Linked DNA regions of Arabidopsis thaliana. Each later gene encodes a partner of the first gene's protein in a complex. Each region holds a gene or a part of one and is shown on either strand. Other genes may lie near its edges. The genes, in order: JR1, GLL22, AT1G54010 and BGLU21.

Evidence for each region.
Region 2: JR1 (region 1) and GLL22 share a complex: the UniProt entries of both Arabidopsis thaliana proteins name them as parts of the PYK10 complex.
Region 3: JR1 (region 1) and AT1G54010 share a complex: the UniProt entries of both Arabidopsis thaliana proteins name them as parts of the PYK10 complex.
Region 4: JR1 (region 1) and BGLU21 share a complex: the UniProt entries of both Arabidopsis thaliana proteins name them as parts of the PYK10 complex.

What each region holds. Positions count from the first base shown.
Region 1 is NC_003074.8:5,593,844-5,601,669, forward strand, and holds JR1 (Mannose-binding lectin superfamily protein), read right to left. Parts: upstream 4,202-7,826; 5' UTR 4,151-4,201; exon of another isoform or gene 4,129-4,150; intron 3,881-4,128; 5' UTR 3,867-3,880; coding exon 3,672-3,866; intron 3,589-3,671; coding exon 3,127-3,588; intron 3,042-3,126; coding exon 2,592-3,041; intron 2,502-2,591; coding exon 2,253-2,501; 3' UTR 1,838-2,252; downstream 1-1,837. Other genes in the region: JAL34 (Mannose-binding lectin superfamily protein), read left to right, coding at 1-242, 340-792, 875-1,336, 1,431-1,679; MPPalpha (mitochondrial processing peptidase alpha subunit), read left to right, coding at 6,063-6,101, 6,391-6,624, 6,707-7,003, 7,090-7,257, 7,369-7,536, 7,626-7,703, 7,777-7,826.
Region 2 is NC_003070.9:20,150,386-20,158,190, forward strand, and holds GLL22 (GDSL-like Lipase/Acylhydrolase superfamily protein), read right to left. Parts: upstream 6,136-7,805; 5' UTR 5,981-6,135; coding exon 5,722-5,980; intron 5,398-5,721; coding exon 5,279-5,397; intron 5,048-5,278; coding exon 4,579-5,047; intron 4,492-4,578; coding exon 4,163-4,491; 3' UTR 3,769-4,162; downstream 1-3,768. Other genes in the region: GLIP3 (GDSL-motif lipase 3), read left to right, coding at 631-871, 980-1,107, 1,463-1,693, 1,775-2,030, 2,120-2,367.
Region 3 is NC_003070.9:20,158,089-20,165,651, forward strand, and holds AT1G54010 (GDSL-like Lipase/Acylhydrolase superfamily protein), read right to left. Parts: upstream 2,777-7,563; 5' UTR 2,660-2,776; coding exon 2,401-2,659; intron 2,110-2,400; coding exon 1,991-2,109; intron 1,637-1,990; coding exon 1,168-1,636; intron 1,080-1,167; coding exon 766-1,079; 3' UTR 501-765; downstream 1-500. Other genes in the region: AT1G54020 (GDSL-like Lipase/Acylhydrolase superfamily protein), read right to left, coding at 3,717-4,012, 4,118-4,370, 4,451-4,651, 4,725-4,843, 5,369-5,618. UniProt on the Arabidopsis thaliana protein: Involved in the control of the PYK10 complex size and possibly substrate specificity. May be exported from the endoplasmic reticulum upon interaction with MVP1.
Region 4 is NC_003070.9:24,698,161-24,706,783, forward strand, and holds BGLU21 (Glycosyl hydrolase superfamily protein), read right to left. Parts: upstream 5,007-8,623; 5' UTR 4,836-5,006; coding exon 4,671-4,835; intron 4,469-4,670; coding exon 4,399-4,468; intron 4,282-4,398; coding exon 4,226-4,281; intron 4,139-4,225; coding exon 4,063-4,138; intron 3,896-4,062; coding exon 3,818-3,895; intron 3,728-3,817; coding exon 3,640-3,727; intron 3,551-3,639; coding exon 3,298-3,550; intron 3,178-3,297; coding exon 3,062-3,177; intron 2,984-3,061; coding exon 2,766-2,983; intron 2,659-2,765; coding exon 2,624-2,658; intron 2,540-2,623; coding exon 2,437-2,539; intron 2,346-2,436; coding exon 2,237-2,345; intron 2,158-2,236; coding exon 1,950-2,157; 3' UTR 1,708-1,949; downstream 1-1,707. Other genes in the region: BGLU22 (Glycosyl hydrolase superfamily protein), read right to left, coding at 8,599-8,623. UniProt on the Arabidopsis thaliana protein: Beta-D-glucosidase active on scopolin >> esculin >> 4-MU-glucoside > DIMBOA-glucoside. No activity with pNP-glucoside, oNP-glucoside and sinigrin as substrates.

The DNA.
Region 1 (7,826 bases):
GAGGAACTGGCACTGGAACCGGAACTGGTACCGGTTCAGGTGCTCAGAAATTGGAAGCACAAGGCAACAGTACAGGAGGTACATCATGGGACGATGGATCCGATTACGATGGCGTGACCAAGATATACGCAAGCTACGGTGGGGAAGGTATTCAATACGTCAAGTTCGACTATGTGAAAGGTGGAGTAACAAAACAAGGAGTTCTACACGGTAAACAACAAAGTAGACAAAATCCAAGAGAGGTAAGCTTACGTACAACTTTCTTTCAAGGTTTCTAACTATATTTTATACAAAGATTATATTACTGACATTGTGAACCCTTTTTAATTTTTTGGGTAGTTTGTGATTAACCATCCGGATGAGTATCTTGTTTCTGTTGAGGGTTGGTATGAAACCGTCATGCTAGGAATCCAGTTCAAAACGAACTTGAACACTTATGAGGTCAGCATCTATCCTTTCGAACCTAGTACTGATACTAAATTTACTCTTCAAGTTCAAGACAAGAAGATCATTGGATTTCACGGTTTCGCGGGCAACCATGTTAATTCCATTGGAGCTTACTTCGTTCCAAAATCCTCCACCACTCCTGTTCCTTCAACCCCTTTGAAGCTGACCGCAGAAGGTGGTGAGACAGGAGCTGTATGGGACGATGGTTCTCACGATGATGTTAAGAAAGTTTATGTAGGACAAGGCCAAGATGGTGTTGCAGCTGTCAAGTTTGAATACAAAAATGGTTCTCAGGTTGTTTTTGGAGATGAACGTGGAACGAGAACATTGCTAGGATTCGAAGAGGTATGCACGCTTAAGACCAACTATTTTTATTGGTTTCCCTTTTCAACTAATTTCACTATTCATTATGCATTTATCTATGTAGTTCGAGCTTGAATCAGACGAATATATAACATCCGTGGAAGGATACTACGAAAAAAACTTTGGAGTTGATACTGTAGTGACAACGCTGATTTTCAAGACTAGCAAGAACAAAACAGCTGGACCGTTTGGGATTGTATCTGGCACAAAGTTTGAATTCAAGAAGGAAGGTTACAAGATCACTGGGTTCCACGGACGAGCTGGTGAGTATGTTAATGCTATTGGAGCTTATTTAGCTCCATCAGGCACCACCCCTTTGACTCCTGCAACACAATCCCAAAAGCTAGAAGGAGCTGGTAGTGAGGCAGGAACTTTATGGGATGATGGTGCTTTCGACGGTGTAAGGAAAGTGTCTGTAGGACAAGCCCAAGATGGTATTGGAGCGGTCTCGTTTGTGTACGACAAAGCAGGTCAGGTTGTAGAAGGAAAAGAACATGGAAAACCCACATTGCTTGGATTTGAAGAGGTATACTTTATTAGTTCTTGCTTTCTCTTTCGTCGTTTAACCGTATAGTTTATTATCCTCAATTTTGTTCTTTTTTGTGCTTCTTGAATTGCAGTTTGAGCTTGACTATCCAAGTGAATACATCACGGCAGTTGATGGCACCTACGATGCAATCTTTGGGAATGAACCAATCGTAAATATGCTTAGGTTCACGACTAATAAGCGAGTATCTATTCCTTTTGGAATAGGAGCTGGCACAGCCTTCGAATTCAAGAAGGACGGTCAAAAGATAGTTGGTTTCCATGGAAGAGCTGGTGATCTACTTCACAAATTTGGAGTCCATGTCGCGCCAATAACCAAATAATTATGGAGATTTTAAGTATCTTTTGATGATAGTTTACACACTTTGAATAAGCTGATTCTACTTTATTTCTCTCTGTTTGTTTACTGCTTCAGTGTTTTAAGTCTTCTCTTTGTGTTTGTTGCTGTTGTGTCTTTGATGGATTTTTGTGATCCGATTTAATAAAAGAAGTGTGTTCAAAGTAATTCTCTAGTCTCTTTATTTGAAATTCCGGGGATAGCAGATTGGTTTCCGCAACATTGACTCCAAGTTTATAATGATCTTGATGATGGTCTAAAAGTTTTGAATAAGCTGACTCTAATTTACTAGGTTCTGTTTGTTTATATACCTTCAGAGAGTTTCAAGTCTTCTCGTTGTGGTCTTGTTCTGTTTTCTTGATGTGATTTCTTATTCATTTTAACAAAAGAAGTTTGTGCAAAGTCACAATGCAGAAACCCACTTTATTTAGATTTTAGATAAGCAAAGCACACAGATGCATTATCCTTAAGAAAAACAAAATACAACACTAGACCACAACTTCATAAACTCACAACATAACCTTATTCAAATTTCAGGGATATCCAGATTGGTTTCACATCATTTGGCTATGGGCGCAACATTGACTCCAAGTTTGTAAAGATATTCACCAGCTTGTCCATAGAAACCAACGATTTTGTGGTCTTTCTTCTCCAGTACGAATTCAGTTCCTCCCTCGAGTCCATACGGGATAGATGTTCTCTTGTTTGTTTTAAACTTAAGCGAGACGATTGCCGGGGCATCTACACTAAAAATCTTGTCATAGTAGCCCGACACGGCAGTGACATACTCATCTGGTCCAAGCACAAACTGCACGTTTTGCAACAAAATTAAAGACTTTAGGTTTCTAGATCAATAACTATAGAAAACAAGATTTGAAAATGAAATCAAGATTACAACCTCCTCTGCTCCAAGCAATGTCTTCTTCCCATGATCACTTCCAAGGACAGGCTTTGAAGCCTTTTCATAGTCAGCTTTGAAATAGGTCACACAAGAGTCACCTTGTCCAACATATATCTTCTTGACACTGTCGTGAACACCATCATCCCAAGCAACTCCACCATCTCCACCTTGTGCTGGAATAGTATTGGAAGAAGGAGTCAATGGTGTGGACGAAGGAATAATATAAGCTCCTAGAGAATGGATCAGATCACTTGAAGTTCCATGGAATCCAACGATTTTGCCGCCTCCTAGCTCAGCTTCTTCTCCAGAGGTTAGTCCAAACGGCTGAGAAGTTTTTCCTTTGAATGTCTTGAATATAAGAGCTGTGACGATCTCTATCGGTGACCCGAAAAGTTTCTCGTAGTAAACTTTCACATAGGTGATGTAGTCTTCAGGATCAATCTCAAACTGCAAAAACAAAAACACATCAATACTAGAAAGAAAGAAAAAAAAAACTTTTGGGCAATTTCAAGAAATACAAAGATTTGTGTACCTCCTCTGTTCCAAGTAGTGTTTGCTTCCCATGTTCAAGTGATACAATCTTACCATCTTTCTCGTAATCAAACTTGACATAAACAACACCAGAGTCACCTTGTCCAACATAAACTTTCTTTACATTGTCATAAGCACCACCGTCGTCCCAAACATCTCCACCACGACCACCTTGAGCTTCCAATTTGGTCAGACCACCTGATACCGGCGGAGTCAGCGGTGTAGTCGACGGAATTATATAAACTCCAACAGAATGGATCAAATCACTTGAACTTCCATGAAATCCAACGATTTTGCCACCTCCTAGCTCAGCTTCTTCTCCAGAGGTTAGTCCAAAAGGCTGAGAAGTTTTCCCCTTGAATGTCTTAAAGATTAGAGCCGTTACGATCTCTATCGGTGATCCAAAGAGCTTCTCGTAGTAAATTTTCACTGATGTTATGTAATCTTCTGGATCAACCACAAACTAGCAAAAAAAAAAAAAGACAACCAAAAATGATCAGTTAATGTTGATGACAAGAGAACTCTCATTGAAAACAAAATATTTACCTCCTCTGTTCCAAGTAGTGTCTGCTTCCCATGTTCGTGTGATACGATTTTTCCATCTTTCTCGTAATCAAACTTGACGTAAACAACACCAGAATCACCTTGACCAACATACACTTTCTTGACGTTTTCGTAAGCACCACCATCGTCCCATTCTTCTCCTCCACGACCACCTTGAGCTTCCAACTTTTTCGCCATCTTTTCTTCTTAACCTAAAGTTATAGTACCCATTTCTTAGAAACTGTAAACGCACAAGAGCCATGAACAGACACTACTCAAGCACTTTCATGATGATGAAACTAATCTAATCTGAGGACTATAATACTTCCACTAGGACATTACTTTAAACAATGGTATCATATTCTCATAGATTCATTATCATATAAAGAAATTCAATAATTCAAATAAAACTAGTAAAAATCAATATAACGATTTTGTGAAAGAAAGAAAAAAGGAGTACATTAAAGGGAAGGAAGAAACACCTTTGAGTGTGAGAAATGGAGATGAAGATGGAATATGAATGAGTTAATCTTGGGATTTTGTATATATACTATATAGTATATATAAAACATTTTTGAATACGAACATTAAATTCTCTTTTCATCCAATACTAACCACTTTTTTTTTCTGCCAATACTAACCACTTTTTCTTTTCTTTTTGAGAGACTTTATATTCAACCAACTCGTGCTTCACGAGGGATGGAAGCTTTGATTAGTTAGGACTTAGGAACTTGTATTAATCTAAATATCTTTTTTTTTTTAAAATTGAATCTACCTTACAACATAAAATTTGTAAAGAGAATTCCAAAATTCCAAAAAAAATCACCTAAAATTTTAAAATCGTGAAAGCAGCATCGTAAAGATGTTCTCTTCTGTTTTTTTTTTTTTTTTTTAACTCTCTTTTGAATATTGGATTAGAGATTTTCACAGTGTCGTAGATTCTTCGTAGAGTCTGTTATGAGTTGACATTTACCATAGGAATTGCATTATCGTGAGAAGGTTAAATGATAAATTGACATTTATAAATTCTCAAAATGTAGGTTATGAGTTGTCAAAGAAATGTAGGCTATGAAAAAAAAAACTTACGTCTAAAAAAATGCAAAGTTAAGAAAGAAATACTCAAAGTTCGTGGCATTTGACCATCTCTCAGCTACACCTCAAATTATAGCTCATGAGAATGGCCCATGAATATGATTGTGGCTCCGTTAATCACGTGGTATTAAAACTCACACACGACCATTTCTCATCTGCCTCCAATTATAGCGAAACCGTTACAACTCGTTGTTCACGTGAGCATCAAAATGTGCATTACTCCTTTCAAGTTCGGCAAATCCTAATTATCCATTTTAATGGACTGCAGAGACTTTAATTAGAGCTTATAGAACTTTAAACATTTTGGTTTAAATCTTAAAATAGAAATTTAACCAATCTCAAATGATTTTTTTTTCTTTTCTTTTGGCATAAGTTTCATAACTCGATGATGAATGCTACGATAATATAGACATACAGTATGATGATTAGATGAAAACAGATAAAGAAGAAAAAGTGTATCGTACGCCCCACTCGGTGATAATGATTAATGAGACTATATATGAGAGTACCCAAATATGATTTTTTCCACTCATGAATCGTATTGCACTATTTCTGCATTATTAAGATAGACCCACATTTAACATTAGACCAAAAAAAAAAAAAGATAGACCCACACCACCTGTTATAGTATTTAGTATTTTTACACATCCACTAAACGACGACAATTGACAAAATCACACAAACCTTTCTCCTTTATTCATTTTTGTTTAATTCGGGTCCCTTGCTTTTTAGCATTCGGCTCTCATTCTTATCTTCCCATGGATGGATAGTCATAGTTATATAATACAGTTCAATTGAAGTTATGCAGTATATATATGCACCACACACGAGTCTTCTATATATGTGGATACTACGTTTCAAAATAATTCTATTAACTTAGAGAAGATAAACTTTCTTAGTACTTTTTTCGTTTCACTTTACACACACCTCAAAAAAATTCTTGTTTCATTTGTGACTGCATGTAAATGTCGTTACCTTACTTGAATTTTTACACAATGGTACGTGAAAAAGAAAAGAAAAAAAATATAATTGAGAGAAAATATAATAGGATCACACCACTACAATACATGGGCTTTAAATTCATCTTTTCTATATGTTATAATTTGGGCCAAGACTATTATATCATATGGGCCTATCAATGTAATTAGAAGCAATTGCCCGATCCAATAACCTTAATTAGGAAAAAAAATCGTTCCCTTCTCTCGTTTCTTTTCAGCTCTGACTCGGCCTCTATCTCTCTCCCGTCGTCAGCCACATTCACCGGTACTCATCTGACCAAGCTAGGGTTTCGCAGTCATCATCATGTACCGTACGGCAGCTTCTCGAGCCAAGGCCCTTAAGGTCAATGTCCTACTTCACTTGTTTCCATTGAGATTCTGGTTTTTTTAGGAGAATGCTTAGTATTGAACAATTTGTATGATTCATTGTTTTTGGATTTGGATTAAAGGGTCTCTTAGATTCTTATAGATCTTGATTCAATTTTATCGCTTTATAGTAGCTGGTGCCATTATTCATGCTTTTTGCAGGTTTATGAAATGTCTCTGTTTCGAAAGTTCTTATTTTTACAATGTTAATTGAATCAAGAGATTAATGATGCTTAGGATGTGTGTGTGTGTGTGTGTGTTTATAGGGCATTCTAAACCACAATTTTCGAGCTTCTCGTTATGCAAGTTCTAGTGCTGTTGCAACGAGCTCTTCTTCCTCCAGCTGGCTAAGTGGAGGCTACTCTAGTTCACTTCCTTCTATGAACATTCCCTTGGCTGGTGTCTCTCTTCCACCACCACTCTCTGACCATGTTGAGCCTAGCAAACTTAAGACCACTACTCTTCCAAATGGTCTGACTATAGCCACTGAGATGTCTCCGGTGAGAGCTTCTTTTAGTAATCCCAACATCAACTTCCTGTTAAAAACTACTGGAAAGTGATTTTGAGTGAAATTTTGTTCAGAATCCAGCAGCTTCCATTGGTTTATACGTTGACTGTGGTTCTATTTATGAGACTCCTCAATTCCGTGGAGCGACGCACTTGCTTGAAAGGATGGCATTCAAGAGTACATTGAACAGAAGCCATTTTCGCCTTGTAAGGGAAATAGAGGCTATTGGAGGTAATACTTCAGCTTCTGCATCCCGAGAGCAGATGGGTTACACAATTGATGCTCTCAAAACCTATGTTCCCGAAATGGTTGAAGTGCTTATTGATAGTGTGAGGAACCCTGCTTTTTTGGATTGGGAAGTGAATGAAGAGGTACTTCATGTCATGTTGCATGTATCTCACAAACATTAAAGCTAAGCAATTTTTTTACACTGTTTTCATCATTTTTCTCCTGGCAGCTCCGAAAGGTGAAAGTAGAGATAGGAGAATTCGCAACGAATCCAATGGGTTTTCTTTTGGAGGCAGTTCATTCTGCTGGTTACTCTGGCGCATTGGCAAATCCATTGTATGCACCTGAATCTGCAATTACTGGATTGACTGGGGAGGTCTTGGAGAATTTTGTTTTTGTAAGACCGTTAACACAAGAGATTATTGCATTCGCTGGAACTAGTATCACTGGCTTTTGGTTTGTTATTTCGTAGATGTGTCTTTTTTCTCATTTTGTTCTGAAATTTCAGGAGAATTACACTGCTTCACGAATGGTCCTAGCAGCTAGTGGAGTTGATCATGAAGAACTTCTAAAAGTGGTTGAGCCATTACTATCTGACCTCCCTAATGTACCCCGACCTGCGGAGCCAAAGTCTCAATATGTCGGTGGAGATTTCCGTCAACATACGGGTGGAGAGGTACAAATATGACGTTTCAATGGGCTTCTTTGAGTAAAAGAAGGTTTATTATTCCTAATATCTTTCTTTTTTTGTTTCACCATTCTCAGGCTACACATTTTGCGCTTGCTTTTGAAGTGCCAGGATGGAATAACGAGAAGGAAGCTATCATTGCAACTGTTCTTCAGGTGCCTGACTCAAATACATTACTTGATCTTTCAAACGCAAAGACTTAATTGTGTAAAATCCAATTCTTATCAGATGCTTATGGGAGGAGGTGGCTCATTTTCTGCGGGAGGCCCTGGAAAAGG
Region 2 (7,805 bases), on another chromosome or scaffold:
GTGATTTGAAATATATAAACACAAATCGATAAATCTTTGGAAATTTCCATTACACCTTTTGTGTTTTTATCCTCATTAAATTGTTAAAAAAATAAAAAAAAATACTTTGATTGCTACAATAAACTTTACTAGTTTAACTTGTCATATGGTATTGTCGCTGTATTAGACCGATCACACTTACACTATAATAATCTATATGACTACAATATTTCGTTCGCATAATCATTCGATCGTATCCTCACATTTCCACAACAATTTGGTATTAATTTTCGGATTATTATTTTTGTATGATAACTCGTTTTATTTTCTAGATTAGATGGAGTAGGTTCTTATATATTTCTATATACATAAATAAAAACAAATTCGAAAATCTATGATTAAAACATGTATGTTGTCTTTGTCACCTACATACTTTAATCAACAAGACATCATATCGATTTTGATTAAAGCCGTGCATCGGAAAATTTTGCTTTAGAACAACAAACTTGACCATGCATAATTAAGAATGTCTATACTCTATAACCAAGAAAAAAAAAACTGTTAGAACAAAACTGTTATAAAAAAAATTATAAATATATATATTCAACAAGTGCTAGCTTGTGGACAGAACATAAACGTTAACGATTAAACATGGTTCGATTAGTTTTGATCATCTTCTTCGTCTACACAATAATCTTGTCGATCGGCTCAATCAACTGCATAGACAATAATAATCTGGTAACAAATCAAGCTGCTTTGTTCGTGTTCGGAGATTCTCTTTTTGATGCCGGAAACAACAACTACATCAATACTGTCTCAAGTTTCCGGTCTAATATCTGGCCGTACGGTCAAACCAATTTCAAGTTTCCCACCGGAAGATTATCCGATGGACGTTTGATTCCCGACTTCATCGTTAACATAACAAAACTACTCTGCTTTGTTATTTTTATTTCCTAGGAATGTTTAACATTTTTTTATTCACTAATTGCTGACCTGGAAGCCGAAAAGGCATGGTTGCCGTCGATCCCGCCAAATCTACAACCAAACAACGGTAACAATCAATTTACCTATGGAGTAAGTTTTGCTTCTGCTGGCGCCGGAGCTTTAGCCGAATCCTTTCTTGGAATGGTAAATATCATCAGTTTTTTACTACTGTTCCATTTCACTAGAAATGTTGTTTTGATATTCTTCATGCGCAACCTTAAATGTTTCTGTTTTTATGTACTTACAAAAACTATTAACTCTTGGAATTTTGGTTTATTTCATAATTGATGTTAATGAATTTTCATTTTGACTTTAATAGATATTGAAATATTAGTTAATGGTATTTATTTGAAAGAGAAAAAAATTTAGAAAGATATTTAAATTGAAATAAAGGGCGTAGAAATTAAAACAATTGTGTAATTTTTATTACTTTAACCGATGATATATAGTGTTATTTGATTAATTGATATGTTCCACTTCTTCTTTTTTATCATGTAAGGTGATAAATTTGGGAACACAGTTAAACAACTTCAAAGATGTTGAAAAGAGCTTGAGATCTGAACTAGGAGATGCAGAAACCAAAAGGGTTTTCTCAAGAGCTGTTTATCTGTTTCATATCGGGGCCAACGACTATTTTTATCCTTTCTCTGCAAACTCCTCAACTTTCAAATCCAACTCCAAAGAGAAATTCGTCGATTTTGTTATCGGTAACATTACATTCGTTATCGAGGTAAACAAAAATCGGAAAATAATTTCAAATATTTACCTTTTTTCTAAAACTGAGTTATATATATATGTTATGTGATCTTAGGAAGTGTATAAAATGGGAGGAAGAAAGTTTGGATTTTTGAACGTGGGACCGTACGAATGTTCACCAAATTCATTGATAAGAGACCGAACAAAGATAGGATCTTGTTTCAAACCTGTCGCTGAGCTTATCGACATGCACAACAAGAAGTTTCCCGATGTTTTAAGGCGGCTACAACGCCAATTATCGGGTTTTAGATACGCCCTTCATGACTATCACACTTCTCTTTCCGAAAGAATCAACAGTCCTTCAAAATATGGTTACTAAACTTGGTATTTACATATATGTAAGAGATCGATCTATAGGTTACCTTTAAGAACATTTTGTGTTATGTTTGTTAATTTTTAGGGTTCAAGGAAGGGAAGAAGGCATGTTGTGGAAGCGGACCACTGAGAGGAATCAATACGTGTGGAAACAGAATAGGACCGTCGCAAGGTTACGGCCTATGCGAAAACGTTACCGATTATTTGTTCTATGATTCCTCTCATTTGACGGAAAAGGCTCATCGACAAATCGCAGAGCTGATTTGGAACGGGCCGCCTAATGTCACTAGACCTTATAATCTCAAAGCTTTATTTGAACTTAGGCTTACATAAAAATCGCCTATATGTATGTATATGAAAATAACTGACGAGGTCACTATATATTGTCTAATAATGTTAGTCATGTAATTTTTTGAGTTAGGATAATAATAAAATCGATTAGTTTTTTTGTGTGGAAAGGAGAACAATTCTATGGTGAAAGTAAATAAACTTGATGAAATACTAAGGTACAAAGACAATTAGATAGACACAAGAAACAAGCATGTCGTAGCAGAAACCTTATTATTAGGGCTTATTTGCGTTGACCTTTCTTGCACGGGAAGATTAGCCGCCAGCGCGAGAAAAACCATTAATAACCCTACGACGATTGTTAATTTTTTTGTACGAATGTAAATTTGATTCACCAAAAACAACTTTGTTTACATTATGCAATAATTTGTTTAAATTTAAATGTTGAGCTTAAATTTTAATTAGGAAAACAGTTTGTATTTTGAAATATTAGAGACGTCTTGTGGCAAACCAGTTACACAAAGCATCATCAAACTTGCCTTTACCGTGAGTCTTTAGATCGGACTGTTCGATCGATATCCTTGATGAGGTTAGTCGCTGTTGAAAGTTGTTCCTCATGTCTTCTCATATTTTTTTCTCTACATATTGTATAAACTGCAATTTGGAAAGTACATGACCTCATATGTGTTGATGTGTGAGACTGTAGTGTGAACCAGAAACTTCGGCAGTCACCAACGTGTTGAATAGTAATATAAACAGTTGAGTTTTTCAATTATATACGACAAATAAAATGTTACCATATTAGACGGATCTACTATATTTATCATGTGATGGATCCAAATCGTTTTACTACTATTTTATGGAATTAATTATCAACATTGAACGTAGATAAAGGAGAGATAAAGTCAAGATCGGTGTGTTGCTTCAATTATTGAGATTTTTAAATTATACTATTTCAATTTGTATGTTTTAACTTATGTCCAGATTTAGCGTCATTTTTTTCTTATTTAAATAGAAAAAAAATACTTAAACTTATGACCAGATTTAGCGGATGAGATTTGTTTGGTCTTATTATATTTTTATTTTCCTGTCGCTTATGATCCACAAAATCAGATCACTAATGCCCACTATATGTATTTACTGTAATAAAATAATCCCAACTGGTAATGATATTTATTTTCAGTTTGGGAGTATTATATTTTCCCAGCTGGTAAAAGATACTTTATCATATTCGTTTTATAATTATAATTAGCTTATTGTTGGGTCAAAAGAAACCAAAAGGAATTAGCTTATTATTTTAATTCGGTGTCATAAAACGAATCAGTCATATATTTTTACATAATTTATACTTACTCTGTTTCTTTTTGTTTAATTGTTTAGAAAAAAAATTATTTCAAAAATATTGATTTTTTAGATTTTTAATACAATAGTTATTAGTTATAATTGATAAATTGTAAACTTCAATACAAATTAGTAAATATCATTGGTTTAGAGTTATTGAAAATTGTAAATCACAAAAAACAATACATTTAAAAGCAACATTTAATATATTTTCTTAATATTTATGTTTTTTCTAAAAAATCAAACAAAAATGAACAGAAGGAATATAAGATATCGAATAGATTAGAGTAAATCGATAGACTAATGAACTCTCGATAAATTCCAGGACGTGGAAAGAGTTGATAAGATCAATCTTTTATTATAGAGAAAAACTCACTAGAGAAACAGGAAAACATTGCAAATCAAAAACATCAAGATTCCGATTTTGATTCGGTTATAAATTAACTCATGACCATTGTAGAAAACCTGATTGACCCTAAAGATTGAGTTTTAAAAAGACTCAGTAATACTCGTAACCGCGGCTAGTGGACGAGCTAGAGTCGCTGGCGTGGACAGTAGCTGGCGTTGGAGGCACCCAAAATTCACGCATGGGTTCATCGACTGGGTAAACAGTAAGCTCACGGACGTTCATCGGTTGGACAACATTTGTATCGGCTCCAAAAAGAAGATGGGCAAACATTTCTTGCGCCTTCTCGGAGTTGTGACGTCCGTCGAAGAATAGGAAAGACCGTTGGTACTCACATAGCTTCGAATGCACGTTAGGTAAACCGCAACCATAAGCATCGTGAGATCCAACTCCGCAGCACGATGCGTTCGTGACGAAAAACCCTAAGAATGACAAATATTAATGACTTGGTATTAGAAGTTATAAAACTAAAACAAATGAAATTAAACCATGATAATTAACCAACTCACGGAAGTTTTGGTTCCTCTGCGTCCTAGTAAGAACGGCATTGTAGAAATCAAAGACGGTGAATTGGAAAGGAGCTGATGCAGGAGAGTTTCTAGCCATTTCGTTCAACATCGGTCCAATTTTTTCGTTGTGTTGTTTAGCCAAATCGTTGAGTTTCTCATAGCATTGATCCATCCCGGTGTTGTATTCTTGTCTGACGATGGGTAAGCAACCCAATGGAGCTAAGGTTTGGATCACGAATTTACTCGCTCCTGATGAATACAACGCGCTAATATCGTTCTTTAACTTGTTGGTCACGGAAGTAACAAAAGCTTGTTGAGCAGATGCATCAGCGGTAGGGTTGTTCTTGGTGAAATTTAAGTAATCGTTTGCACCAATGTATATCATAAATACTGACTTTGCCACGAAATCATCGTTCCAATTTGCTGCTTTCATTTGATTGAATTTTTTCACTTGTTGATTCAGAGTCATCTAAAGAACCAAAAAAGAGAAAAAGACAAAAATTAAACCAATATTATAAGTGCAATTAAAGTAAAGCTTATTGATATTAAGTCACATGCTTTTCTGTGAAGTAAAACAAAAAGAATCCCGCTTAGTATGACCGGGTCAATAATAGACAGATATAATTGATTTTCTTTGAATTAGGTGTTGACTATAGATATATACATGACTCTTATATAATAAGAAATTAAGTTTACTTACAGATTCCACCGGAGCTCCGAGTAGAGTAGCACCTTCGACGGCGAAACTAGCTCCACGTGAGACATTGACGTTCGGTTGAAGCGCCGGCGCGATCGCGAGCGGAATCTTCATGAATTTAGCTGCATTTTGTATTTTAAAAATATTTTAGTTTTTCATATAATATCAAATCATTCCTTGTACTACATCTCCGAATCTGTTGACGAAAATAATAAATAAAATTTCATAGAATGTGTCCCGAAAAGTGAATAGCCGCTGAACCAATGCATTTATAATCTTTTTTTTAATCATACTATTTACTATTTTTTAAGTAATTCACTAGTAGCATACTTAAAATGCATTTATAAATACTACTGTTTATGATTATTTTTACGTAATCATACTATTTTTAACATACTTAATGTTTTAAAGATTAGAGTAGGATTCGATTAGAAAAGAAGTCGTACCGAGGAAGTCCGGAGTGATGAGGCCGTCGGAGAATTTGCCGTTGGGATCATCTCGAGATTTTCCGTACGGCCAGAAACCTTGAGCGACTAAGGTTTTGGTGAGAGTCTGTTTGTTTCCGGCGTCGAAGTTGGAGTCACCAAAGGTGAACAAGGCGACCACCGGACTATTCTGTCCGGCGACAGTGATGGGGTTGTGAAAGAGGGTCAATACCAAAATTACACATAGAACACTGACTAAATTACAGTTGTTTGCCATCATTTAGAGAGAGGGAGAAACAGAACTGTGAAAAGAGAAGAAGATTGCTTTTGTGCCTTAGCTCGTAGACCGATTCGTTATATTTATATTGCAAGTACTACAATTTGGCAATGAAAATAATAGTTCATTTTACTATACAAATAATAACGTGTAGCGCGAGGTTCATTTTACTATACACCTATTTAACGCACTAGCAAACGATTATCGATCAATTATATTATATAGTTCGCTTAATCACGTCTGACGCATTACTGGTTTCTCTTCTACTTTATTTTTAATTCTCAACAAAATATCTATTGTTACTACGAGTACCAAGAAAGATCGTGCTTTTTTTTTTTTGGTTCAACAACAACTTACAATTACACAAGAGTCTGAATACACATAAGCTTTAACCCAATCCGGCAATATAGAATACAATTTGGGATCATAATTCAGAAAAGAAAGAGATTCCCTAGCAATTCTATCTGCCACACAATTCCCTTCTCATCGGGTAAAAGTCACTTTAACCTCTTCGAAGTGCTGAAAAGATCGTGCATTTAGAGGCAAGAAGTAGAATTAAACATACAAATTTCACGGAAATATAGGGTGTAAATGGTAACACTAAACCAGATTCAGTAATTTCTGCAGTAACCATTTGCATAAAACTAAATTTTGCTGACTAGCCAAATTCAACAAAAAAATTTCAACACCAACATATACGTAGATATGTTTATTTCTGCTAAAACTTTTGGATAATTTACGAGTACACAACTCGAATTAAAATATTTTTAATATCAAAATACATATCAAATAGATATTTTTAAATAAGTCAGATTATACTGATACGATATATGAATAATATAGATACATAAAATATCACTACCAGAATAGACAAGAGACGAATATGTTCGGATAATTATAGATAATTTGGATAATAATTTTAATAACGTTTAGATAACTTAAATCAATTATTAAAATTTTGCAAAAACAACTCATACCTATGCTAAGATATTCTTTAAAAGATAAATTATAGTAATTTCCTTAATCATCCTCATCATATTATTGATTAAATTACTTGAAAACAATTAAAAAAAACAATTAACAATCTATATTTTATCATCATGTTAATTTTTGAAATTATTTTCTTAATAGTGTTTTGACAAAGATTTTCGTTAATTATTTACATATTTTTAATAGTTCAAATTTAAATAAGAAAGAATAACTCAATTTTGCGTTGACACAATCTTAATAGTATAGGTAATAGCTTAGTTATGTATATATAAATTATAAAAACTTGTGGAGAGTTGTTCCTTAAGATTTACAGTGAAGATTAGAGAAGATTAAGTTTTGAGAGAGTGTCTATATCAAATACAGAAGAGTTGGTCCTTATTCGTTTGTAAGTTCTAGTAATTATCAATTTGATTGGAATCATTAGAACGACAGAAAGGTGAACAATTTTGTTTCTAAAAGAGTGCAGAAACTAGATAAAAATAAAACACATTTGCTTACGTGAAGATGAAGTTTTATATGAAGAACGCCTCATTTGTTTGGTTCATCTATTATCTATATATATGATTTTTGGTTTTATTTCATATGAAAATTAACTGTAAATATAGCCGGCCCCAAAGCCAGATGTATAAACTTATCTTTTCTGGAACTTTATAATTTCTACTTTTTATTTTCTTTGTTGCCAATCATTTCGAATATTACCTTGCAAGAATAATTGCAAACAAAAAAAGAGGGTAAAAAAGGTCTCAAATTGAATCCACTACCTTCTTAAATTGATTCCACCAAAATTTATCATTTTGTTCTAATGGAGTGCATGTGGCCCGAAACTTGTCTAATCTGA
Region 3 (7,563 bases), on another chromosome or scaffold:
AAAGGTCTCAAATTGAATCCACTACCTTCTTAAATTGATTCCACCAAAATTTATCATTTTGTTCTAATGGAGTGCATGTGGCCCGAAACTTGTCTAATCTGAGCACAAAGCAGGTCATTGGACACGCTTTGGTTCATATTGTCAGGTTTATCACGTTACTCATTGAGATTTTTCTTATGGAAAAAACAGAGTTGAGGTTACATTATTATTTTAAATCTCAACAAATTAATAACAGCGCATTTCAAATTCCAAGAGCTCGTTCATGGTATAGAGATGGAAAATAGTGAGCTCAAGAACTAAACGAGTTAGATAGATTCACTAGCATCGACGTCGACGTCATGGACTAACGATGATATTCTCATCCATTGGATCCTCCCAAAACTCACGCATAGGCTCATTAACAGGATACACAATGAGCTCACGAACATTCATAGGTTGGATAACATTTGGGTCCGCTCCAAAAGATAAGATGATGAGAAAACGCTTCTTGTGCCTTCTTTTTTTAATTATGGAATTACCTTTTAATATGTGGTTGACAAAAAAAAGAAATAAATTTATGTAAAAGTTTTGTTTCTTTTAAATAAAAGATTTGCAAGGGGTAAGAGTTGCAGAGATCAATCTTTTATTATGGAGGAAAACTCACTAGAGAAACATGAAAACATTGGAAATTAAAACTACTCAAGATTCCGATATTGATCCAGTTATAATTTGACTCATAACCCTTATAGAAACCCCGATCGATCCCTAAATATTGATTTTAGAGACTCAGTAATACTCGTAACCGCGGCTCTCCCTGAGTTGAACGGTGGCTGACGTTGGGGGCACCCAAGACTCACGCATAGGTTCATCGGCAGGGTAAACGACAAGCTCACGGATGTTCATCGGTTGGATAACATTTGTATCGGCTCCAAAAAGAAGATGACCAAACATCTCTTGCGCCTTCTCAGTGTTGTGACGTCCGTCGAAGAATAGGTAAGACCGTTGGTACTCGCATAGCCTCGAATGTACGTTAGGAAAACCGCAACCATAAGCATCATGTGTCCCAACTCCGCAGCACGATGCGTTCGTAACGAAAAATCCTAAGAATGGCAAATATTAAACACATGGTATTAGAAGTTATAAAAAAATTTAAAAATGAAATTAAACCATGATAATTAACCAACTCACGGAAGTTTTGGTTCCTCTGCGTCCTAGTAAGAATCGCGTTGTAGAAATCAAAGACGGTGAATTGGAAAGGAGCTGATGCAGGAGCTGTTCTAGCCAATTCGTTCAACATCGGTCCAATTTTTTCGTTGTGTTGTTTAGCCAAATCGTTGAGTTTCTCATAGCATTGATCCATCCCGGTGTTGAACTCTTGTCTGACGATGGGTAAGCAACCCAATGGAGCTAGGGTTTGGATCACAAATTTACTCGCTCCTGATGAATACAACAAGCTGATATCGTTCTTTAACTTGTTGGTCACGGAAGTGACAAAAGCTTGTTGAGTAGATGCATCGGCGTTAGGGTTGTTCTTGGTGAAATTCAAGTAATCGTTTGCACCAATGTATATCATAAACACTGACTTCTTCACGAAATCATCATTCCAATTTGCTGCTTTCATTTGATTGAACTTTCTCACTTGTTGATTCAGAGTCAACTAAAAAAACAAAAAAAGACAAAAAGACAAAATTATAATTGCAGTTAAAGTCAGATGTCTTTAATAAAACAAAAATATGCCGTTTAGTATGATCCAGGCTAGTCCATAAGACAGGTCAAGCACATGCTTTAGACCAGAAGATATATACTAAATCATTCGCCAAAAAAAATAAAAACAGTAATTTGGTAAAACCTTTAATATATTTTATATCATTAAGAAGGCCATCTTCCAATTGTGCTAAGGCCACCTGAAGGTAAATTAAGGACCGGCTATGTATGACCGGGTCAATAAAAGACAGACATGGTTCATTTATTTTGAATAAGATGATTATAGTAAGAAATTAAGTTGACTTACAGATTCCACCGGAGCTCCGAGTAGAGTAGCATCAGCGACGGCGAAACTAGCTCCACGTGAGACATTGACGTTCGGTTGAAGGGCCGGCGGGATCACGATCGGAATCCTCATGAATTTAGCTGCATTTTGTACATTAAATATATTAGGTTTTCATATAATACAAATATAATCTCCGAATCTGTTAACGAAAAAAAATCAAAAAAAAATCCATGTGTTTCGAAAAGTGAATACCAGCTGAACCTTTTTTATTTTTAAAATATTTTAACCGTTATTTTTAGTAATTAACTAATATCCAACACTCGTCATTTGTACTAACGTTTTAAATGATAAAAAATATCATTTTGCATGTTTTATGTTTTGTAGAATTCGGATTAAGATCTTTCAGTTATACAAACAAAAAAATGTCGCACCGAGGAAGTCTGGAGCGATGAGGCCGTCGGAGAATTTGCCGTTGGGATCATCTCGGGATTTTCCATACGGCCAGAAAGTTTGAGGGAGTAAGGTTTTGGTGAGAGTCTGTTTGTTTCCGGCGTCGAAGTTGGAGTCACCAAAGGTGAACAAGCCCACCGCCGGAATATTCTGCCCGGCGACGGTGATGGGTTTGTTAAAGAGGGTCAATACCAAAAATACACATAGAACACTGACTAAATTACAGTTTTTTGCCATCATTTAGAGAGTATACAGAGAGAGAGAAAGTGAAACAGAACAGTAAATGAGTAGAAGATTGCTTTTGTGTCTTAGCTCGTAGACCGATACGTTATATTTATATTGTAAATACTACACAATTTGGCAACTGAATTTTTTTTATCAAAAAGATTGTTTTTAAGAAAAAAGCAATTTAGCAATTGAAAAATATTGTTATTTAAATATGAATATATGATAACGTGTTGCTCGAGGTTCATTTTTTTCTTTTTTCTACACACCTAGTTAATGCACAACTGGTATCCCATTTCTATTTTATTTATTCTTAATTTTCAAGATACATTTATTGTTACTAGTATCAAGAAGATCGATCATGCATTGAGGGCAGAAGAAGATTTAAATGCATATTCCTATATTTCAATAAAATATATAAAAAAACATGTCAAATGGAACCTCTCACCTATGAAAACGTAACTAAGAAAATACTCCATGCATTTCAGATCAAGTGTTCGTTTTTTTTAAATACTACAAACTAAAAAAAAATTGTTTTACTATGATTAATTCATTCTAGTTAACACATTAAAACAGTATAAATAAAATTTGGAACTTTAACCAAAATTTTATATTAAAACCTAAAACAACACTTATTATAAAATAATTTTGGAACAGTTAAAAATTGAAACCATTTCCACTATTTCATTACAACAAGAATTGCAAAAAAAAACAAAAAAAAAAGTAAATAAAATGACTCAAGTGAGTTATGTAATTTGAAATCCATAAGTCTTAAATGATTCCACCAAATTCAATCATTTCGTTCTAATGAGTGCGTATGGCCCGAAACTTGTCTAATATGAGCACAAAGCAGGTCATATATATGCTTTGGTTATATTCTCAGGTCTATCAAATTACCCATTAATTGATTATTTTTTTCTTATGAAAATAAGCAGAGTTGAGGATTTAAACAGTATTAATTATTTTACTTCGCAACTAATTAAGAACAATACATTACAAATTCCAAGAGCTCGTACGTGATCTAGAGATAGAAAATAGTGAGCTCAAGAACTAAACGAGGTAGACAGATCCACTAGTATTGGACTAACGATAACTTCTCATCCATTGGATCCTCCCAAAACTCACGCATAGGCTCATTAACAGGATACACCATGAGCTCACGAACATTCATAGGTTGGATAACATTTGGGTCAGCTCCAAAGATAAGATGAGCAAACGCTTCTTGTGCTTTCTCTGTGTTATGACGTGCGTCGAAGTAAAGGTAGGATCTTTGATATTCGCATAACTTCGAGTGCACGTTAGGTAAACCACAACCATATGCATAATGCGTCCCAACACCGCAACACGATATATTCGTCACGGAAAACCCTAATTAGTCATAACAACAAGTATTATTAAATGTTTGCTTCAAAGTAAAAGCATATAACGATATTAATGATAGTGTGGAACTTTGAATGGCGAATTGTAACTCACGGTAGTTCATGTTTCTTTGTGTCCTGCGAAGAATAACGTTGTAGAAATCGAAAACGGTGAATTGGAAATCCGGTTTAGTTTCCGCCATTTCGTTCAAAATCGGTCCAATTTTAGCGTTGTGTTGTTTGGCCAAATCATTGAGTTTCTCGTAACAATTGTTACCGGTTTTAAATTCTTGTCTTGCGATCGGTAAACAACCTAATGGCGCTAGCAAGTGTACGACGAATTTACTAGCTCCAGATGAATACAACAACTGCAATTAATCATTATAACAACATATCTATATCACTAACTCGTATTAATTTTTGATTAGTTTTGGATGAAAATACTTACGTTGATATCACTCTTAAACCGGTTAGTGACAGAAGTAACGAAAGCTTGTTGAGCAGAAACTTCAGCATTAGGATTGTTTTTGGTAAAGTTGTAGTAATCTTCCATACCAATGCTAATCATAAACACTGATTTCTGAATGTAATCCACTTTCCAATTTGATATCATCTGATTGAATTTCCTCACTTGTTGATTCAGAGCCAACTACCAAAAAAATGTGAATCTTTATTATGACATTGCTTTACGATTGATTAACAAATATTTTAAGTGAGCTTACAGAATCTTTTGGAGATCCAAGAATGGAAGCGGACCCGACGGCGAAGCTGGCTCCTCGTGACACATCGGTGCCGGGTTTTAGCGCCGGCGGTAAATCGTGTGGTATCCCCATGAATTTTGCTGTGATTTATTCACCCCTCATCAATTTCATATATCTTTAATTACCAATCAAAATTTCCATTTAGTATAGAGTACCTATAAAAACGAGTAGCTAGTTTTCTTAATGGTTAAATGATATGCATTATAGCATTATACCTATAAAGAGCGTGTTCATCTTGTATACGTTGTTAAAATATTAAAGAAATCAGGCTGATTCAGATTGAGACCTTTGAAAAAACAATTACTAGCCCGTTACGTTTTTACCAACTTTTCACACATTATAAAAGAGTTTGCAATATTGAAGTACCCGTTGCAATTGCTTATTTTTAATCGAACTCATTATAAAATCATTTATTGATTTAAGTAAAATATTTAACAACTGTATTGGGACAGAATTTTAACATGAAGGATAACAAATAAGCATCAATCCACAAACCATATGTTGTCCTCTATATGTTTACTTGGGATTAGAAAGATATAATAAAACAATCTGATTCCTTTTGAAAAAATTAAAAGTGTAAAATAGAGATAAATTTACAAACTTACCAATAAAGTCCGGGACAATTTTGCCATCAGAAAACTTGCCCTTAGGGTCATCTCGAGATTTACCGTAAGGCCAAAAGTTTTGAGGAAGTGGAGCACTTGTGAGGAACTTTTTATTTCCAGCGTCGAAGTTGGAATCTCCGAAAGTGAACAAACCCACCGCCGGAAGATTCTGCCCGGAGATGGTGACAAGGTTATGAAGGAGAGGAAATACCAGTAATATTCCTAGTACACTCACTGAACTACACTCCATTTTCAGTTAACCAGAAGGAAGAATGATGAGGTACAATAAGTTCCTCGGTCCTCTAATATATTTATATTGTAAAATATTTGGAAATAAAAGAGCTTTTAACATGTTCTATAATTGATGACAAAAAAAAAAGAATGTTCTATAATTAAAGATTAAACGAACTCAGTTTAAAATAAAGAAAAAAGTTTGGGGAAAAAATATCTAATAAAAATATAAACGTTAGAAAATATATATTTATTGTAAACGTTAAGAGCTGTTACGTAATTATAGAACAAACAAAAAAACAATTATGTAACACAATTTTTTAAGAAAATAAAACGTTTCGCAAAAATGTCATGTAAAATCATTGTTAGCAAAAGAAAACCACAACGCCGTGAATATTCAATCTCTCACGTTTTTGCTATGTCTTATATCAATTGAAACTAACTAGTTAGTTTCTACAGTTCTTCTACCTAGACACGTTTGTTCTATTTTTAATAAGGTTGAGAAAGATGTTTTTCTTTTTCCTTTTGTCAAAAAGTTGCTGCTCTAGAAAGCAGAACACACTTGAGCATTGAGCGACCAAAAAAAGAAGAAGAAAGACTTGAGCAATGATTAATGTTTTTTCTCTCACAGTTTTTAAATTACCCTTAATAATTTTTTTTGTTAACCCTTAATAATTAATGTATTCAAGTTTTGTTGAACCAAAACATCATTTATTTTCAAGAGATTTTTTTAATAGTCTTTATCTTGTTAAAAATAACTTCTTCTTTTTGTTAAAAATAATTAAAAGAGCACCAATGTATATTCAACTAAACTACAAATCTTAAAAAGTAAAAACTGAATCCTATACTTTCTAACCGAATCTTAAACATGAATTCCTAAATCCCTAAAACCTTATTTAAACCCTTTATCCATGCTTCAAAGTTTCAAATTCTTTACAACTAATCAGTATAAATTGATCTGACTCAAACTCAAATATATATGCATATATATATATATATAATATTAATGATATAGAAAAAAATGAAGAAACTCAAAATCACGGGTCCATCAAACTGCGACATGATAATGATTAAAAAAAAAAAGTTGCGACAAGATAAATCTCAATTTGTTTTTGCATTTTTGAAGAAATATGTTAGTTAGAAACAGGGGCGGACCTATTTAGGAAAAAGGGGGGTCACTTGACACCCTCAACTCCGGGATCAAATCTCTAGCATAACACTTTTGCTTCTTTTTTCTCCATTTAGCTTTAAATACATGTATTTTTATTGTCTTATATACATTTTTTCTTTTAGATATTACACTAATTAATATACTATTTATAATTGCCTATGAAAATGCCACTGGTTAGAAGATATTTAGTCATGTAGAACAACCTGTTAGTTATAGGGGAAAATGCTATTGTAATTCACATTTTTATTTTATTTCTCAACCACCACCAACACATGCATGTGTGTTGTTGTGCCCACACTTTTTCAATAAACTTAAAATCAAGTAAACTTAATAAAAATTATAGTAAGTATAAAATGATATGGACCAAATCTATGAATAAGTTTAGTTTAAATAGTAGATTTGTAAGATATTCATTATGTTTTATAAAAAGTGTAATAATGACATGTTTTTGATAAACTATCTTAATAATGACATGTTTCACACAAATTAAGATAATTACGCAAATTTTTACTATATCACATGACTAAATTTTTTAATAAGCTGTAAAGAAAAACTATATCAGAAAACATAAAACAGCTCACTACTGGCCAAAAAAAGTGTTAAAATGTTAGTCAAAATTTCAAAAAAGAAAATATGATACGTACATGAAATTAATTAATTAATTCCATAACATTCGTAGAAGCAATACGTTATCGCCAATCAATAATTTGACTAATTCAAAATATCGTTTTCGTTATCGAGGTGAACACATGGAGCTGCTGATCCATGAATGAAGTTACAATCTTGTATCCAA
Region 4 (8,623 bases), on another chromosome or scaffold:
ATTTTAGACGGAAACTCGTAATCGCATCTCAGAAACATAGATCAAAGCCCTAGATCTAGATTCGTAATCGAAAAAGTGAAATCAATCGGAAACATTATACGCGAAACCAGATGAATCGAGAATCGAAACGTTACCAGATTAGGAGAAAAGACAGATCGGAGAAGATCGAGAGATCTGTGTTAGGGTTTTGAGGAAGCTTTTGGGGATTTTTTTTTTCTCTTGAGGATTTGATGAACGAAGGGGGGGAAATAGTTTGTGATTGAGATTACTGGTTAATGGAGAGGAGAAGGTATCTTTTTTTATATAGGACTAGGTCAGCAGGGTAATTATGTAACTTTTCTCGATTTAGGGGGGGCGTTTTGCGTCTCTTATCAAAAGTAGACAATTACCAAAAAACCGTAAGGGAAGATTGCCAGCTATGCGTTTCCGCGTTTAGTTAAAAATAGTTTATAAGATAAGGATTATACTTTTCGAAGATATCAAAAATGCCCCAGTTGTTTTTCTAATTGATATGTTGATACTACAATTTTTTTTTTTTTTTTTTATTGTGTATATGTAAGAATCTATCAATCTATCATTCCTACGGAACCTTTTTGGTACTCCTGAAAAACAAATCTTGATCAAACCTATATTTGCATATGCAGTTTAAGATTATGTCCAGTGGTGAGAACCTTCTATAGACTCTCACTATTTTTTTGTTTTATTTTTTTTTGGAAAGATTTATTAATTTTGTTATCTTTCCATGGTAGGTTCTCCAAGTAGGGTTCTTTAAAAGAAAGTGTATATGATCCTTTGTGGCTCAAGATCAGTTCCAATTTTATTATGTGATCCTTGTGCCTTGTAATAGATGTCTAAAGATGAGTGTTAAAGAGAAAAACAAACCAAAAGACATGACTCACTACAGAGCATAAATTACAGTATATGCATATATTTCAAATCTTACCAATTTGGTAGGTCTTGTCTTTCCTTTTTTGACAGACAATCCTTCCAACTCAGCTTCAAAGCTATCAATCTACGACTCTAGTTCACTCACTCACATATCAAAAGCACGAAAATAAGTAATGAATCAGCTACAGTACTGATAGGAGATGCTCCAAGAATTCTCAATTTTACAAAAGAAACAGTCTGAAAGTGAGTTGGCCTTTAAATTTTTTGCTTTTAAAAAAAAAATCTTGAAAATCACTATTTACATAAATCGTTTTTGATAAGTGACTACTAGTAAGATAGAATGTGATGATTTCATTATTAACACATACGTTTGATTGTTTTTTTTTGTTTTTTTTTGCTTGCTAAGAATGAAATATGAATTTCCAAAGTAATGAATGATGTTGGTATTGCATGGTGGATTTATTTGGTTGCATCATGCATGGATTTTATTTCCTTAAGGTATATAGAAAATACGCTTGGCCAAATGAGTGAAAAAGAGATATCTTCTCTTGCTGGTCGTCCTGTTTTTTAATCTAAACTAGTGACTTTCAAAAATAAAATATTAGAACTGTTTGGGAAAATGAATTGCCATTGTTTATTTCATCGCCAACGTTTAAGTTGTTAGTTTTTGAAATGTTTGTACTTAGTTGTTAAGACGACGTCAAATTATTTCCTAATCTATTTCTATGTATAGAGGTAAATTCGTATTTTTAATTTTCTAAAACTAATGATATTTTCTTACATCATTTTGTAACTCATAAATTTTTTAATGTTAAGGTTGTATGATTCAATTTTTCTTCAAGTTTGGAAGGTAAAACATATTTAACTTCACATATTGATTCTCAAAAAGGATAACGTCATTAAAACTAAAGCCTTCTTGATCTTGTCGAATAAGCTAGAGATTGAAGGAAAACGAAACACTTTTATTATTATTAACCACGACTCATGAATCGTGCGTGGTCAATCACAAACTAAAACATAGGAAAAACATCGAATAGAAAACGAAATCCTCAAAATATAACTTAAAGCTCATCCCTCTTGAGTGCGGATGGACGAACACCTTGAGCGAGGAAATCTTTGTAATACTTGGCTGATTCTTTCTCATAACGTGTGAGGTTATTTTTGAAATCGACGTAATAGAGTCCGAATCTGTTTTTGTAACCATCTTGCCATTCGAAGTTATCCAACAATGACCATACAAAGTATCCCGTAACTCTCACCTTATCGATGCTGCACAAACACAATTATGTTCTTAATTAGACCATTCAATAGAATCGTTAGTCAATCTATCAAATAATAAAAGGCTTACCAAATAGCCTCGTTCATAGCCAGAAGATGCCTCTGAAGATAATATTTCCTGTTATGATCAGCAGTACCAACGTCAACCGAATCTGTGGTCCCAAGTTTATCTCCATATCCTAGAAAAAACAACATTATAATGATCAGTATATTACTCTTAAGAGTTAAGATTAAATCAACACACAAATATAACAATAAATCTCGAGTTACCATTTTCCATTATCATAATCTCCGGGTTTGCGTATTTGTCCTTGATGTACTTTAAAAGCTTTCTAAATCCTTTAGCGTAGACGGGCAATGCAGCAGTAAGAGGCTGAAATAAAGCAATGGTGAAAATGTTATGTCGTAGACAAAAATTAACAATCACAAACTAGGACTAGTTTAATCAAACGCTTACCATGCTACCAATGGCGCTGTGATCTACATTCTTAGCTGAAAAATAAAAAGTGAAAATGTATGCATATCAATTAGTATTATAAAACCTTTTATCTTTAGTTTCTTGGTTTGGTTTCATGTACGGAAAACAAAAAAAAACTTACGTTCCCAGGAAACAAGAGAATCTTGCTTCCAACTTGGTTTAGACGGATCTGGCTTCTCATTATAATTTGAAAATGTCGAAGTATAGTAGTTAAGCCCTACGAAATCGGTCGAATCTTTCAATTTTGCTTTTTGTGCAGCAGTAAATTGAGGCAATCTGTAACCAAGAAGGTCTTTCATGATTTGTGGATAATCTCCCGAAGTAGTTGGCTCCAGATGCCTACACAAAATTAATAACTACATTAATTTTTATGAAATTATATACGAGAAACCATTTTCTAACATAATATATACTTACCATCCCAACATAAAGTCAAGTACACGGCTAACAGTTGGAGCGTCATTTGAATCTTTAAGATCATGTGGTTCGAACCAAGCCGGACTATGTGCGATTCCGATTTTCCCACCTTTAACCTATGTCCATAAACACAACACAAAACAACCTATTTTAAGATTCGAAACCTGATAATTAATTGTGATTTATATCTAATGTGACCTGATAATTAATTATGATTTATATCTAATGTAAACTACCTTTTGGCGGAAAACTTCAACAGCTTCTGCGTGAGCGTTGAGGAGATTGTGACTGACTAGATAAGCCTCTTTACCAGATTGTCCCTCTCGGTCTTCGCAACCTGGAACGTAGCGAGAACAACGTCCTGGTGCTTTCTTTCCTAAGTCGTAACCTGCGTGAGCAAAGACCCATGGCTCGTTGAAAGTGATCCAGTTTTTCACTTTTCCACCGTATTCAGTGAAAACATAATCTGCATATTCTCGAAAATCTTTCCTGTATTTTTGCAAAAAAAAAAGATACCAAATTAATAATTTCCATATAAACTTAACTAAATGTATTTTGTTTAATTTACAAAAACATACACAATGTTTTGGCTTAAGAAACCGCCATATTCGTCTTCCAAATCTTGTGGAGTGTCCCAATGGAAAACAGTCACAAACGGAACTATACCTATTTATGACGTAAAATAGAAAGAAATGTTAAATAAGGATACTATATTACTTGTATTTTTGTGAACTAGGTATTTTATATGTATATAACCATTTTTAAGGAGTTCATCGATGAGCTCGTGGTAGAATTGCACACCAGCTTGACTCACTCCCTTCTCCTTTCTCCCATCTAATAAAGCATTACAGTTTGTTTCATTAGTTATTGATACTTCAACATTCACATATACATCATCTAAATTCATTGGTTATTAGTATTATATAACAATCACATAAATCTAATTTCACCAAATTCGATTAAAACAAAATCAAACTAGAGATCTGCAGACATATACTCACGAGGAAATATTCTTGACCATGCGATTGAGAGTCTGAATGCATCTGTGTTTAGATTCTTCATTAGCTGAATATCTTCCTACAAACATTTTTAAGACAAGGCAAAATTTCAATAACATCTCGAGAATATAAGTTATGTTTGTCTTAAATTTATATTAATATATACCTTATAACGATGGAAGAAATCAACGGCCACATCGGCGTGGTCGCCACTACATCTCTCTGTAATTTGAAAGTAATTAAGAAAATTAATGGCTATGTATTGATATTAATTAGTTAAATTTAATTTAATATTTAAACATACTGTATTGAGAATGTAGATTATACGAGTACACTCACCTGGATTTCTTCTACAGTAGATATCCCATAGAGCCGGTCCACGACAAGTTTCATTAATTGCACCTTCGACCTAATGACATAACAAAAAATAGTTGATGAGTTGAGGAATATCACATGCACAAATGATTTCAAATGATAGGTATAACATATTTTGAGCAACTTTTACATAAAAAAAAACCATATTTTAAAAATATGGATTTGAATTCAGATAGAAACACAATAACGACACTACTTTTTGTTTTTTGAACTATGATTTAGTAAATCTGTTGTACCTGAAACGCAGCAGTAGCCGTGCCAAACAAAAACCCATTAGGGAAACTTGCTCGGCTTAGCTTGGAAGTCGCCGGGCAAACAGGATCATCAACCGCTGTTGTCACAGAGACGAGGATGGTTAGGAGCAAAAGCAGCCCCATGAGAGGAAACTTTTGCAATGCCATTTTTGTTTTTAGTTTCTTCTGGAAGAGAACAAGTTTATGATGATTTGTTTACATCCAATCGGAGTTCTTTATATAGCGATTTTGATTGTTTGTTAACGAGTGACTAAAATATAATTGTTTAGTAAAACTATTTTATATATAGGATGATTCATTGCATGACCTCGACCGTTGTGTTCTTACTTAGTTTGGAACATATTATATTGTGCGTGGAACTAATATAAGTTCTTCATCCATTTTGGATTTAATTATTTGATTAGTCCATTTTGGATATCATAATCTCCCAATATGATTATTTGTGTTTCATAATAAACCTTTTTCGGAATAACTCTTATGTACTTTGTCTATGGTTTCGATAATTAACTATGTTCATATATATATAAATATATAATATTGGTGTTTTATATAATTTAATAATTGTATATTATTTATTTGGTAATTTTTGGTTTAAACCACTGTCGCATCTACTGCTAAGCCAATCATAAAATTGCCGTAAATACACATATTTTTAACTGTAAACCAGTCATTTAAAATGTCCGATAACGTTTAAAACCTCAACCAATTACTTCCATTAACTTCCACAATGACAACCACACCCCGTTGCATTTAAACCAACGAAAACCCTAAATAATAACAAGCCTATTTTTGATACTCAAATAATTGGAGACTTTATTATTTTTCAAAACTTAATTGTAAAAACATATTTTTTAACTTGTTTAACGAACATTACTCTTAATCTTTCATAAATCAGTTTCTAATTCGAAAAAAAGTTATACCTTATTCTGAAAAAATTCAGGTAGCAAGTAAAGGATCTCTCATTTAATGTTTGGACTAATGAATGACTAAACTATATGAGTATGTATTTAGTAAGACTATTTTTATAGTATATAGGATGCTTCATGGCACGATCTCGATCATTGTATTATATATAGTTTAGTAAATCTATTTAATAAATAGGATGATTCATTGCATTATCTCGATCATTGACTAATTCTTACTTATTTTTCCTAGTTTGGAACATATTATATTGGGCGTGGAACATATAATATAAAAACGTGACTTAAAAATATATCATGTATGTCCAAAAAAAAAGTTTACAGCATGAGGAGTCCTCGAACCAATCGGCCGGCCCTAAGTCAATGGATCATTTAGTGCCTCGTATAGATCTAGATCGAGTTTTGGATCTTATTTTGTTATGGACGTTAAGTTATTAATGTGTTAGTGACTAAAATATAAATATATAATACAACTGTTTAATAGGATGACTCATTCCATGATCTATATGGTTTACATTACTTTTTTGTTTTCCAATATATAGTCCTCGTGTCTAAAACTCTAAACTAAATTATATCCTCTTTATATTTTATAATTGACACATTTTGCGCGAATAAAAAGACAAATCATTAACTATACAAATATACCATTACTTTATTAGATGATATTTCCTCTATTTCAAATTATATGATGTTTTAGATTAAAACACACACTTTAAGAAATTTATTTTTAATTATAAAATTTGTTCTCTTGATATTAAAAATACAAAATACAAACCAATAGTCAAATAATCAAATAAAATATATTTAAAAATTGCATTGATATTAGTAAAACATCCTAAATAAATCTCTGAAATATCCTATATAATGAATCAGAGTGAGTGTTAAATTTAAAACAAAAATATGAATAAATTAAAGAATAAACGTGGAAGTTTATTTGAAAAGTAAAATTGGAAATTTAAAATAACATGTTTTTTTTTGAAACAAAATAAAAATTCCACAAGAACACTAGTGGTTGTTATACAGAAGGACTATTATTAAATATTTTAAATTGGATGATTTCATTGCACGATATATAAACGTTGAGTTGTTTTTTATTTTTCTAAATCTTGAACGTATAATATTCATCATGCATAAACGTTGAGTTGTTTTTTTTATTGAACAGAAATAAAAATCCTCAAAATATAACTTAAAGCTCATCCCTCTTTATCGCGGATGGACTTAGGCCGTGTTCGTTTCATCAGTCAGATGGATCATCTAGATAGAGATGAGTTTTGATGTTCGTTTGGTGCCAAAAACGGTTCATTCAGATGATCTATCCAAATAAATCATCTGGATGACTTTGAAAATTTAAGCTAAATTTTGAAACTTATTTGGCTGAATTTAATTGGATCATTTGGATGGAGATGATCCAGTCAAAAATAACAAATAACAAAAATACCTTAATTATTTCAATTGATTATTTATATGTATTTTTTCGATAAAAAAACAAATAGACTTAAATCTTATTTTACAACTATTTTTAAAAAATAAAAAATTAAATTTTCCACTAAAACCGCAAAATTATTTTTTTTTCCGTTAAAACCGTAAAATTTTGTTTTTCCGCCAAAACCGTAAGATTCTGTTTTTCCGACAAAACCGCAAAATCACGTTTTCCCGCCAAAACCGCAAAATCACATTTTCCCGCCAAAACCGCAAAATCACGTTTTCCCGCCAAAACCGCAAAATCGTGTTTTCCCGCCAAAACCGTAAAATCACGTTTGTCCGTCAAAACCGTAAAATCGAGTTTTTCCCGCCATAACCGTAAAATCACGTTTTCTAGTCAAAAACGTAAAATCACGTTTTTCCGCCAAAACCGTAAAATTTTGTTTTTCGCCAAAACCGTAAAATCGAGTTTTCCCATCAAAACTGTAAAACCACGTTTTCCCGCCAAAACCGTAAAATAAATTTATAAATGTAAAAAACTATTATTTGAAATTTATTTACTTTTAAATATATTTTAGATTAAGAATTAAAATTAACATGTTTACAAGTAATAATAAAAAATATAATTAGATGAAAGCATGGGTAGTTTAGGTATTTGTATTATTACAAATCATTTGGATGGAGATAGAGATAAGCAAACGAACATCTCATTCGGATGGTCCAGTCAAATGAACCGACTAAAAATGAAACGAACAAGAGTTAAATAAATCATCCAAATAGACATGTTGAATGGATCAGTTGGATGGATCTATCAAATGTAGAAACGAACAGGGCCTTAAAACCTTGACCAAAGAAATCTTTGTAATACCTGGCTGATTGTTTCTCATAACATTGAGATTATTTTTAAAATTGACGTAGTAGAATCCCAATCTGTTATATTAGAACCATCTTGCTGATATTATGTTGTGTTCATTTTTATGTACATTGTCTTATCTTATCCGATATCAAATTATGTAACTTGATTTTATCTAAATTGTTTGGAAAGATTAATCTCAAACTTGTAGCTACGGTGTGACATCTTATCCGATCTCAAATCATGGTGATTTTCTAAAAATGTTAAACTATTTCCATTGTTTTATTTCATCGCCAAGCGGTTTAAGTTGTTGAAGTTATTAGTCATTAAAATATTTGCACGATTTAGTTGTTAAGACGACGTCTAGTTATTGCATAATCTATTTCTTTAAATAGAGGTAAATTCGTATTTTCAATATTTTAAAAACTATGATATTTTTACTTCATATTTAAAAACATCAGTCCTTTTGTAAATTTAAGACTTTTTTTAATATATATAATACAATATTTCTTCATGTTTTGAAGGTAAAGATACCTTCATATAAGGATAATATATTTATACTAAAGCATTCTTGATCATGTCAAATAAGCTAGAAACTGAAGGAATACAAAACACTTTTATTATTATTAACCAAGACTTCATGAATCATGATCAATCACAAACTAAAACATAGGAAAGAAGCATTGAACAGAAAACCAAATCCTCAAAATATAACTTAAAGCTCATCCTTCTTGAGCGCG